Linked DNA regions of Canis lupus familiaris. The protein of the gene in region 2 purifies or fractionates together with the protein of the main gene of each other region. This does not show direct contact. Links are inferred from orthologs where the notes say so. Each region holds a gene or a part of one and is shown on either strand. Other genes may lie near its edges.

Region 1 (3,590 bases), on a different chromosome or scaffold from region 2:
GTCAGTTTGTAGAAGGAGAGACATTTTCCCGGGGGCTCAGGGAAGGCTTCCAGTAGAGATGGCACATGATCTAGGTTGTGAAAGATGCCTAGGATTTCAGGTTGGTATGAGGGGTTGCGAAACTATGATGCTGACACTAGCATACAGTTCAGTTCAGCTGGAGTACAGAAAGTAAGAATATATCTGGACAGATCATTAGAGACCAGTGGAATGTAAGGTTAAGAGGTAGAGCTTCATTCAGTAATAGAAGGGCATACTTGGCAGATGTCAGGTGCTGTGCCGTGTTTTCAGTGCAGGACATCACACATTGCGGCCTGGCTAAGAATCACTATTTCTATTGTCTCTTTTTATATGGTTGCAAAAAGTAGTTCAGACTAATACTTAGTTGGAAATAGGCGTAGAAAAGATTTGAGAATTTGCCTAGGGGCACTCTCTACATGGTGGAGAGGAGTCCATGGAGATGGACTTGAGGAGAGCTTTCCTTGCCTCTTAACGCCCTCTCCAAGGGTGGTAGTAACATTACAAAACTGAGTTCTACAGAAGTTAGGTTGTCAGCGGAGGATAAAGCAAGTTAGGTTATTACCAAATTAAAGCATGGACTGGATTCCACATGAGAGGAACAGAAGACTCCCTTAGCATATTTAAGGCTGGAACCATGAGTAAAGTACTTAGTCCTCCTCCAGCTAGTTTTGCTCACTGTGAGCACTCGCATGCAAAGGTATTCATGTACAGTAGTCATCATATTCCTGTTTCTTACCTGGCAGTTTGAGCCTCTTCTTCAGAATGTGTTTCATTTCATTTGGACTTGATTCTCTACCTTCAACAAATTTGGGGAGGTGTGTGTCTCTTGAGATGGTGAAACCTGAGGTCTGCTGGGTGAATACTTTTATAAAAATCAATACTGTTTCGTATATTTGTATCCTAGAATAAAGACTTGTCTTTATTTTGGCCAGGTTATAATTGTAGAAAAATTCATTTAATCATTTCCCTTTTAAGGTGTGATGCTTTAAAAGAGCACAGAGCTCCTTTTTGCTTTGGGCTTGAATTGGCCTGAGTTGATATTAAAAATTAGATTGAGGTGGCACCATCTGATACCAGGCTTTTAGGTCACAGGTTTTTTTTCTTCAAAAGATGAGAATTACAGAACACGATAGTAGAAATTTAGTGCCATTAAACATGAACTGCCGAGAGCGGGGAGACTTACACGTGTGTTTATAGCTCTCCTGCCAAGGGCAGTTTTACTTGGTGGAAGAGAGGTGCTGCCCTGGGTGCACTGTGCACTCTGCCATTCTTAAACCTGGGGAGAATTTAAAAACTGTAATGATGAGAAGCGGTAACATACAGTATGTTTTTATTGGTATATAGTCAGATAGATCTACTTTGGGTAGTAAACTAGTTTCCTTTAACATCTATAGATCAGAATAATGTCAGGTACCTGCTCTCTGTGAACTGTTGGTGGTTACCAGGAACCTTTTATCCTTAATGATGCTGGAGCTGTGGGGGTAGATCTCAGGGCAAGATTTCTCAAACTGTTTTTCAGTTTCTTTATTACCAGCATATTTGCCAGCATAAAAATCAGGAAATGTAGTAAGCAATATAGATGTGCAAAGAGTTTATATATTTAACTGAAGAAATATGTCTGAGTTAAGTGAATTGTTACTGAAGTGAATAAATAGGTAGGGGATAAATAATGTTTTGGGTGCATTTCTGTGCCCAAACAAGACCACTGACAGTATTCTGAAACCTACTCCCCATTCAGTGACTGGATTAGGAATGATTCCCAAAGGTTCATCTGATGAACCTTCTGACTGAAATGATCTGACCGAAAACAAACTGAGAAGTACCCAGAATTCAGCAAATGACAGAATCAAAATTCAAAGAGATCTTGGCAAAAGCCTGCAGAAGGCCTGATCTGAGGGAGAGCTAGAAAGCAGGAGAAACTTCTTTGAGAAACAACAGGAAGAACAGAGGGTGGCAGATGGAGAAGGGTCAGTCTGGCCTCTGCCTCCTGGATTACATGAGCTAACTTGTACAGTGTGCCAGTGCAATGCTAAGCTGCATAAGCCAAAATGTACTGTCCGAATCAAAATACGACCATGGGTTTGTACAGGTCAGATTTGAGACTGTTCCTCAAATCTGTCATGTTTTAGGAATGATCCCATATCAACATCTTAGTGTATGTCTCAGACCCCGAGACAAGGATTCAAATGCTAGGAGTTGGTTCAGGAAATGGAGGACGCACTGGTAAGGAAGGAGGAAATAGAGAAGTGAGGTAGGGGAGGGAAGGCAGCCAAAACCATTATTAAGCCTGCTGCTGTGTTGGGTGGGTCATTAGAGCTTATTCCCCTAGGAAAACATGGGAAACTGTAATGAACGTACAGAATTATCCCACCCAGAAGGAAAGGAAACCGGGTGTTTAAATGCCAGTTCCCATGTCATTGGGTAAGAGCTGCTCCTGGGGAGGTAATTTCCTAGCATTTGTGGTCTGCACATGTGGCCCGAGCAGAGAAGTTGTTAGGCACAGGAATTCAGAGATACGCGATTGTTAGTCGGCAAGAGAATGCTGAAAACTCCAGAGGGTACAGTGCGGCACTGACACCATCTGCTATAGAAAACCACAACCTTTGAGATGCAGTTTTAAGTTATAGTGAGCATGTGTCACTTGGAGCTGAAGGTTTGATAATGGCCTTTTCTTGTGTTTGTAGGGCGGTCACAGTGAAGCAGCAAGCAGACTCGCTGACTTACTGTAGATAATAAATAAGACAGAACTCAGATCAGTATGTGAGCAAGTGACGGGACGTCACTAAACAGTTTGTAGTTCCCAGAGTCCCATTATGTCGAAATGCTGGAGGTGTTTCTATTAAAAGCTTGCACCCATGTTTCTAACAGAGATGTTTCATTGGCCTTGTCAGGGAAGGCCGACCTCTAGCTCTGAACATTCTGTGATAAGCTTCGGTCAGAATTCTGTTTTGTTTTGGTACACTTGAAATTTGAACCCTGTTCTATTTAGACTTGACTTGGTATTTGAGGATCCTCTGCTCTGCGATTGATTAATCAGTAGGGTGACTGTGTTTTTTGGTTTGCTTGGGACAGTCCTGGTTTGAGTCCCTTGTTCCTGGCCTGATTATTAATAGTGACTATTCATTCACTCTGAAAGGTGTCTCGTTTTAGTTGGTAAGTAGTCAGGTCACCCTCCTAATTTTAATTTGAAGAGAAATGAATGTTTTTGTTAATTTCTTTAAAAGCAAAAAAAAAATAAAAGTCACTAGAAGTATTTTGTTAGACTTGGAGGATTAAATAATTTTCAGAGTAATAGCTATTCAGACTTCATACTTGTCCTAAAGAATGTAGGCTTTAGTATATACAGCCTTTTAATTTAACTAAATTCTTAATGCATGTTGTTGAACATCGCCATATTCTTTTAATTTCATAATTATTTTCTTGTATTCTTTTAAATAGAAGGCAGACGGTAACGAGCACTCCTTGCTGGATTGAACTTCATCTGAATGGACCTCTACAGTGGTTGGACAAAGTATTAACTCAGATGGGATCCCCTTCAGTGCGTTGCTCAAGCATGTCATAAAGCTTCG
Region 2 (4,310 bases):
TAACTAAATAATAACACAGTACCTCCATTTAAAATGTAAGTTCAATTTAGTATTTGTTTTTAAACATCTGTAGCCCACTCCACATGTAATGGTATGAACTGAATGCCTGCAGAAATGTGGGCCAGCTGTTACCAACAATCGGTGAGGTGCATACAAGAAAGAACAGAGATGTAAGACATTCAAATGCCAATTCTGGACTGCGACCAACGATTATAGGTTTCTGACAGAAAAAATTATTAGGATGATTTAAAGAGCATTACCAGAAGTAAAATGAAGTTTCACCTTTTAGTATGAGAGCTATTTAGTCATATATAATATCTATAATAAGACAGAAGCGTTATCTAAAGCAACAAACATGACTTTATCATAGTTCTCTCCCCACCCCCACCACCAATATAAACATGAAGGAATTTACACTCAATATAACACTTCTTTCCAGGAATTGGATCATGATGAACACACCAACAAGTACCAAAAGCACCTAACCAAAAATACAAACCATTAAATTTGGGACCTAGAGAAGACTAAAAAACTATCCTACAGTTCTCATCTAGCAATTGAGAGAGATCTGAAACTAAAGATGGTTATCAATAAAGGCACAGATCTAAGGAACAGATTTAAAATCCAGAGCTCTGATCTCCAGCCCCATTCCCTTCCATAAGATAATGCCACCCACAGAATGTTAATATCAAAGTTACTAACATGCTTTAATCACTAACATTTTTAATACTGTCACTGTCTTTTCTTCCTAGTGGAAGTCTCAGCTCAGAGGGGAAAAAGTCAAAAATAGGATGCAGACAATCATACTCTAAGTAAAGCATGTTACAGAAACCCCTCTTTGGCAAAATAATTAAATGTGTAAAAAATCTAATTAGTTTGATTCAATGGATTTTTTTAAACCCACTTTAAATTTTATAATGAAAATAACTATCTACAAATATCTGCTGACTGCTCCTCTGCTCCAAACGTGTAAATTGCTATTCTCTTATTTTGTCCGAGGTTAAATGCCAAGAAGTGGCCAACAAAAGTAAAATAATTCAAGGCTTTAAAAAAAGGGATCCCTGGGTGGCACAGCGGTTTAGCGCCTGCCTTTGGCCCAGGGCGCGATCCTGGAGACCCGGGATCGAATCCCACGTCGGGCTCCCGGTGCATGGAGCCTGCTTCTCCCCCTGCCTGTGTCTCTGCCTCTCTCTCTCTCTCTCTCTCTCTCTCTCTATCATAAGTAAAAAATAAAATTTAAAAAAAATAAAAAAAAATTAGATTCTTTGCAGCATAAGAGGCTTCTTTCTCATCGCGTTTGGTCTCACAGAGCGCTCAAAAGACTACTGTTTCATATGAAAAGCAACATAGTTTATATTGACATGAAAATTTTTGCTAAAATAAAATCACGGTAGTAACAAACTGTCATAATGTAGACCTTCACCATAATAGAACTAAGTAAAACTAGGTATTATGGAACTTCGATGTACGAAATCACTATCCTGACATTTGAAAGCAATGACACACACACGGATGGAAAAGGAAACGGAACCTTGGCTTCTCTTTTCCCCAGGCTGTTCTTTTTTGGGGGGAAGGGGTCCCTAAAACAAGAAAATTAAACGTAAAAAATACCAAGTGAAATAAAGTTTGGGTTAAGCAAGGTCCGAAAGCTAAAAGAACTGGAAGATGAAGTCTGTGTCAGCTGGCATCTTATCACTCCGGAGTGTTCTAAATTCATACTCCACGTAAATCAAGAAACAGGAAAGCGCACAATACAATGGAGTCGCCTCACACTACAAACATTAACAAATTAAATGAATACCTTACACTTCCTGGTGTGTGTGTGTGTGTGTGTTTTAAGCACCGAAACTTAGATGCGCCTTAAGAAGTATCTGTAAAGACCTATTACGACCTATTTAACGACTATGGCTGGCAAACCTCTATTTCTACAGTACGGAGCAGACCGTTGCCACGACAGCCTTGTGCCACTGACTCCGACAAATTATCTAAGAACAATAATAAAACAGTGAGCTGCCTTTTTTTTTTTTTTTTTTTTTTTTAAATGACCGACAAACCAACTCTACACCGAAATCTGACGCGTCCGTCTGCGCGCTGCTCGGCGGACGTTTCCTTGAGCACAGGAGGCGGCGACTCCCTCCCCGCGGGGCCGACTTAGCGCCCTCCGACACCCCGGGGGCGGGTTACCTTCATCACTCCATTGTCAGGTCGCACTCCCACGCCTCCGTCTTCAGCCCCCTTCCTAGACTCCAGGGAGAGTCCAAAGAGGGAGAGAAAGCCCCTCACCCACACTGCCTTACAGCGGGGTGTGGGTGTGTCTGCAGACCGCCGCTCCGCGCAAACACAATTAACCCTCCCGCGGAGCCGCGGACCCCAAGTCACCGGGGAACCGGCAGCACCGCCGGCCGCCGACCCCAGCCTTCCGCGGCCGCAGCCCTTCCTCTTTCTCCCCTCCGGGCCGGCCCCTCCCCCGTCGCGCGCACGCGCGGCTTCCCATCCATCCCCTCCCCCCTAGCCCCCCTCACCTTAATCATTAGCCACCCTCTTCCCAGAGTCCGGGAAATCCCTGCCCAGGGAGGGACACAGGAGGCGGAAGAGGGGAAGAGGCTGCGTCGAGAACCGGTGATCCGCGGCTGAGGTCTCGGCCTAACAGGCCCCTACACTCAAGAGCTGCGTCTGTCACCGCCGCCAAACCGTACGAGCGGCAGCGCCTGGTTCGGCCCAGTTCACCCGGCTTCGGTTCGGGATGCCCGATTTGACCCCCGCAAGAACGCCTTCCCCGAAGCCGCGGGCGGTTCTGTGCGGCGCAGACCCCACACCTCGCCGCCGCCGCCGCCGCCGCTGCTCTCCTGCCGCCGCCGCCGCTGCCGCCGCCTAACCAATCCCTCCTCTACCGAGGGAGCGCGACAGTCGGGGGCTTTACGACAGTTCGCAAAGTGAGAGCGCCGCGGCGCTCACGCCTCCCTCCGTCGCTGTTTCTGCGCATGCTCAGACTCTGGCCTCCCGGTGCCCCGCCCCCTCCGCCCCAGCCCTCCCCCTTTGTGCTCGTTTTGTCGCGTCTGTAAAGCGAAGCCGGACGGTTTCGTGAAGCTCGTTGGTTTATTTTCCTTGGTTGTTGTGTTCTACGCTTAAGCAAAAACTATTCCTCAGCTGTTCTTGTTTCCGTGACTTGAAAAGTGCAGCTAACCACAGAATCACGCATTGCACTTAGGCTACAGTTAAACAAAAACCTCCCGGCTTGCTGTCTTTTACGAGAAAACGATACCCAAATCTTACTCGCTAATGACATAAAGATCATCGCACCCTGCCCTTAAAGTGGATTCGCTTCCAGAGCCACATCGAAAGTGGTAATAGGCACCCTGGGAAACGACTGTACAGTCACATACGGCTCCTTAGTTATTTTATGAAAAGCAGGAGATTGCAAATGCTTCCTTACGTGCAAGAGGAGGATGGATGTAGGCGAGGAGAGTGTAGGCTTTTGAATCAAACAGACCTTTCGGATCCCGATGATGCCAATGAACAGCCGTCTAATTTATTAGGTCTTTATCTTTCCCCCAAAAATGAAATGTCAGTTACACCTCCATTTAAGAAGAAAATAGAAGGGTATCTTTCTTAAACCAAGAAAAAGAATTGTTTCCTTATTGACAAATTGAGGTGACGTTATTTACCCCAGAGGGTTCTTGTGAGATGAAATAAGGCAGTGTATAGAATGCTTTGAACATTATTTACCAATTAAGTGTTCAATAAACATTAATTCCCTTCTTTGGTCATCAGCCTGTCTTTCCCAATACGCTTTCTTTGTTCACTCATGTTCTCCATATTGTTCTGTGAAGAAAATAGTTTAAAATAGTTATAATAAAGGATCGCAGATTGTGCAGGAAAACTGGAGGAGCACCGGAGAAGGAATTTTCCTCAATCCTCCTATTTTCTTGTTCAGAAAATAAATTCTTCCTGAAAAAAATAAAATAAAATAAAATCATGGTCCTTCCTGGACTATCTTATCTACTGCCGTGATTTCAATTGCTATCAGCTCATGACTTCTCAAAGTCATGTATTTCTACAACTGTATTTCCAGACCTAATCTTTTTTTTCTCAAGCACTTGAAATGTGGCTAGTACAAGTTGAGAAGTGCTATGGTAAATATATATCCAATTCAAAAATACATTTAAAAATTGTAAAAATTTGAATGATTTTTAATATGCATTACATGTTGAAATGATATTTCGGATATATTGGGGTAAATCGGTGGTTCTCAAGCAGGGACAATTTTATGCCCCCACTTTGGGTTATTTAGCAATATCTGGAGACATGTT
Region 3 (4,170 bases), on a different chromosome or scaffold from region 2:
CGCTGGGCCACCCAGAGAGCTCTGACTGCTCAAATGGAACTGGGCCAAAGTGTGTTTCAAACTGGGGTTTAAATGTAAAGGTTCAGGCACAGAGGCACAGGTTCGCTTGACATGTTCCCCATCAGTTTCCATTGGCACTTCATAGTCATCCAAGTGTTCCTTCTTCACGGTTGGCATCTTGCTGTTGATCATCATTTTCCCGTTTGCGTGAATGTCTGTCATCATTTTTTTCACTGGAGGGCCGCCATCATCTCCCATCCCATTCAGTTTTTTACTGGAGCCCTGAAGCAGGGAAAAACTTGTCTGCAGGTTTGCCATGGCTAAAAACTGTCGTGTTAAATAAGTAAGTCTGAAATGTGCATTGTTCTTTTAGTCACTCATTGGAAGAGAGAAAAGCAGTATGTGTCAATACTTAGGGTAACTTACTCTCACAGAAAATCTCAATGTTCAGAGAAATCCCCTTAATAGATTTTGCAACTTGATCTGGTTCTGCTTCTGCTCTAGTATAATTTCACTGCCAGTGCTATAAACTTTTTTCTTTTGTCGCTAATAATAGAGAATATAATTTTGAGAGGCACACCTATGAAGAAGCCTTTTCTCTTAATTCTTCCAATATATGCATTAAAGTACACTTAACAATTCTCTCAATTCGAGAAGTCCAGAATCAATGCAGTGGTTTGGTTTGGTTTTAGGCAAAACATGTGAAAAGTTTGTGTGATTACCTGTGTCACAAAACCTGGACACAAACACAAATCAAAGAGTCGCTCCCGAAATTAGTTTTTGGCACCGAGGACACCAAAAAAGGAAGAAGGGGGAAAAAAAGTATCTTCTCTAAAAGTGATGATCTGTTGGTCTGTGTTGATAAACTGAAGGCTTGTATAAATCCTCACACCAGTGGGAAGAGCTTTTGACTCCACTTGAACTCCTACAGTTAAAAATGATACCTAAAAAAAAAAAAAAAAAAAAAAAAGGTTGCCCAGTTATCTTCATGGATTACTGTTCATTCTTCTTTTAATTAATCTGGAAGAGAAAGGGGTGGGGGAGAGTTATATTTGAATTTGCTCCAGAGGCCAAAGGGTCAGTGTGAAACTAGTTTCTTAATCTTAGACTGAGTTCACTTTACCAAAGGTGAGGTGAGCGACTTCTTTAAATTTAGCACCAGTTAAGTAGAAGAGCTTCATTTAAACAGGAAAGCAATCTGGAGAATGGGTAAAGGGAGCAATAGTCTTCCTCAAAAGGGAGAGGGAGGGCTACTCCAACTCAGAATAGGAAGAGTCTTTAGATAGATCATCTCACCCAAAACTCAGTGCCAGAGGCTTTCTCAGGTATGCCACTTTACCGTAATCCATTACTTCAGCTCTTAATCGAAAAAAATAAATAAATAAATAAATAAATAAATATATATATATATATATATATATATATATATATATACACACCAGTTCCATCCCCCCCCCAAAAAAAAAATCAGATAGCAGTTAAGATATCTACCACATGGAACTAAGTTACGATTTTAAGTGCATGGATTCACCTAGTCCACGTATGTTATTTTTTTTCTGAAATGACTGTAGGCAAAAATTAACTTTCCCTTTAAAAGGTTAGTGAATGTGCTTCATGGAAGCCAAAAGCTCCCGGACTCCACTCCTGGGAATCTCCATCCTTAACCAGACTAATCCCGGACAAAACACACACACACACACACACACACACACAAGGCAGACAGACCTCACAAAGAATGCAAATGGAGGAAGAGGGAAAGAGAAAAGCTTCTTCTTCCACTTCCTTCTTGAGCGAGAATCCGAAAGAAATCCAATCAATGGAAATTTCTGCCTCCCCAACTCCCAGCAGTTCACCTTAGGAGGACCCAGGGTGGCGGCCCAAGGCCACGGGGCAGGGCGCGGATCGCCCACCGCGGGCAGGGGGCGGGGGCGGGGGGGGCGGGGGCCGGACCTGCGGGGGGGCCCCGAGCCCCGAGATCCTCGGCCCGCGCCCGCCCACCCACCCTGCGCGGAGCCGGACGGGGCGCCGAGAGGCGGGAGGCCGGGACGCCTCGGGCTGTGCACGCCGAGGGGGAGGGGGAGGGGGAGGGGAGGGGGGAGCCCCCAGTCTCGGGGCGACCCCGCGCGCCCTCCCGGCGCTGCCCCCGCTGCGGAAAGCCCCGCGCGCCCCGGCCGCGGGAAGTTGCCGGGCGCTACCCCCGCACCCTCGGGCTGCACCCCCGGCCGCCGGGGCCACGGGGCGGCGGGGTCTGCGGGCGCCCGGGGCGCGAGCCGGGATCCCCGCGCCGCCCGCCGCCCGCCGCCCGGGGCATCCCCGAGGAGCGCAGACGGTCGGGGGGGGGGGGCGGGGAGCGCCGCGCGCCCGGGTCTCGGGGTCCCGACCGCCCGGGTCAAGTGCAGCGCCCTCCCCGCGCCCTCCCCGCGCCCCCGCCCCCGCCCCCGCCCGGGGTCCGCGAGCCGCGACCCGCCGCGGGACCCCCGCCCCGACCGCACCCGGGACCGGGACCGGGACCCGCGCCCCCCCCGCGCCCCCAGCGCCCCTGCCCCGCGCCCCTGCCCCGCGCCGCTCGACGAGCCCTGCCCCGGCCCCAGCGCCCCCCGCCCCCCGCCCCCCGCCGCCGCGTCCCCCGCGCCCCGGGGCCGCACCTGTGCCCGCCGCCGCCGCTCGCCCGCTCCCCTCGGCTGTGCCGGCGCCGCTCCGAACCCCACACACATCGCTACACACAGCCCTCTGACGTCACCGAGCCCTCGGCCCGCCCACGTCACTGCGGAGACACACGGCTTCCCGCAGACGCCGCCGCCGTCTCCGGCCGCCCGGGGGCGGGCAGGGGGGAGGGGACGCGAGCCGAGCCGGCGGCGGCCCCGCGCGCGCGCCCCCGCCGCCCCGCCCCCCGCCCCCCGCTCCCCCCCCCCCGGGCGCGCGCCGTCTGGCTACTGGGGCTCCCGCGCCCGCCCCGCCCCCGCCCACCGCGCCCGCCCCCCGCGCCCCCGCCCCAGGCGCGCCCCCGCGCCCCGGCCTCCTCGCGCGCCGTCTGGGCGGCTGGCGCGCGGCGCTGTCTGCGGTGCACCCGGCGCAGACAGGATGTGCCCTCCCCGCCCCACCCCCGCCCGCCGCCCGCCGCCCGCCGCCCGCCGCCCGCCCTCCTTCCTTCCTCGAGTCGCCCAGCCGGCTGTCTGGGGCCGCCGCCGCCCCGCCCCGCCCCGCCCGCTGCTCCGCGCTGACGGCCAGACCCGGGGGCGCCCCGGCCGCTCGGCTGCCGCGCGCCGGGGGAGGGGGAGGGGGACGGGGAGGGGGCGGGGGCGGGGGGCGCGCAGGGGAGGGGAGGGGCGGGGCGGCCGCGCCGTGCACTGTGCGCGACCCCAGCAGCCGGCGGGGCGGAGGCGCCGCCGCCCGAGGTCAGGCACGGGCGACCCTCCCCCCGCGAGGCCGCAGCTGGGCCGCCCCGCCCCGCCCCGGAGGCAGCCGGGTGGCGGCCGCCCTGCAGCGCCCCGCCGGGGGCCCCGCGCCCCGCCCCGCCCGCCCCCCCCCCCGCGGGGCCTCCCGCCAGCTGCCCGCCCCGCCCCGCCCCGCCCCGCCTCGGCGGCCCCCGCCCGGACGCCTTCCCCGGCCTGACCTCCCTCCGCCCTGCGCCCTGCGCCCTCCGGCCCGGCGGGACCCGGAGCGAGCGCGTCTGCCCCCCGCGCCTCCGGGCCCCCCCTCGGCCCCCCCGGGACCCCCCGGCTCCCCGGGACGCCCCCCGCTCCCCGCCGCCCACGGAGGGCTTTCGAGGGGGACACGGAACGCGGTGCAGGCGCGGCCGGGGCGAGTGCGCGGGGCCCCCGGGGCGAGCCGAGGGCCGGGTGGGTGCGCCCCGGGTGGGTGCGCCCCGGGTGGCCGAGCAGCCTGCTGAACTCTGCCGACGTGCTCCGTCCCATTTCGAAACGCCGAGAAATCCCCTTTTCTCCACCCCCACCGCACGATCAGGAACCGAAATAGGCCCCCGAGTTGCACTGCACAGAATTCAGAGGACTCGGGCTTCGTCTCGGGGGGTTGGTTTTCTTTTTTCTTTCCCCCCCCCTTTTCGCCCATTTTTGTCCAATTTCTCCTGGTTTGACCGCTTCGAGGTCGCTTCTGCGGGGTCCGCGGGTGGAGCCAGCCGGCTGCGAAGGGCCCCGGGCTCCGAGGCCTTTT

What was found.
Region 1: the proteins of RNF111 (region 2) and SMAD2 purify together in Homo sapiens (affinity purification with western blotting, with the first as the bait; 3 studies listed by BioGRID). This does not show direct contact. The link is inferred for Canis lupus familiaris from reciprocal best matches to the Homo sapiens genes RNF111 and SMAD2.
Region 3: the proteins of RNF111 (region 2) and SKIL purify together in Homo sapiens (affinity purification with western blotting; 3 studies listed by BioGRID). This does not show direct contact. The link is inferred for Canis lupus familiaris from reciprocal best matches to the Homo sapiens genes RNF111 and SKIL.

What each region holds. Positions count from the first base shown.
Region 1 is NC_049228.1:43,758,056-43,761,645, forward strand, and holds part of SMAD2 (mothers against decapentaplegic homolog 2), read left to right. Parts: intron 1-3,459; coding exon 3,460-3,583; 3' UTR 3,584-3,590. UniProt on the Homo sapiens protein: Receptor-regulated SMAD (R-SMAD) that is an intracellular signal transducer and transcriptional modulator activated by TGF-beta (transforming growth factor) and activin type 1 receptor kinases.
Region 2 is NC_049251.1:24,253,093-24,257,402, reverse strand, and holds the start of RNF111 (E3 ubiquitin-protein ligase Arkadia), read right to left. Parts: upstream 2,872-4,310; 5' UTR 2,523-2,871; intron 2,456-2,522; exon of another isoform or gene 2,185-2,455; intron 1-2,184. UniProt on the Homo sapiens protein: E3 ubiquitin-protein ligase. Required for mesoderm patterning during embryonic development. Acts as an enhancer of the transcriptional responses of the SMAD2/SMAD3 effectors, which are activated downstream of BMP.
Region 3 is NC_049255.1:35,127,731-35,131,900, reverse strand, and holds the start of SKIL (ski-like protein), read right to left. Parts: upstream 2,826-4,170; 5' UTR 2,646-2,825; intron 1,783-2,645; 5' UTR 1,726-1,782; intron 1,360-1,725; exon of another isoform or gene 1,297-1,359; intron 1,021-1,296; exon of another isoform or gene 945-1,020; 5' UTR 319-944; coding exon 1-318. UniProt on the Homo sapiens protein: May have regulatory role in cell division or differentiation in response to extracellular signals.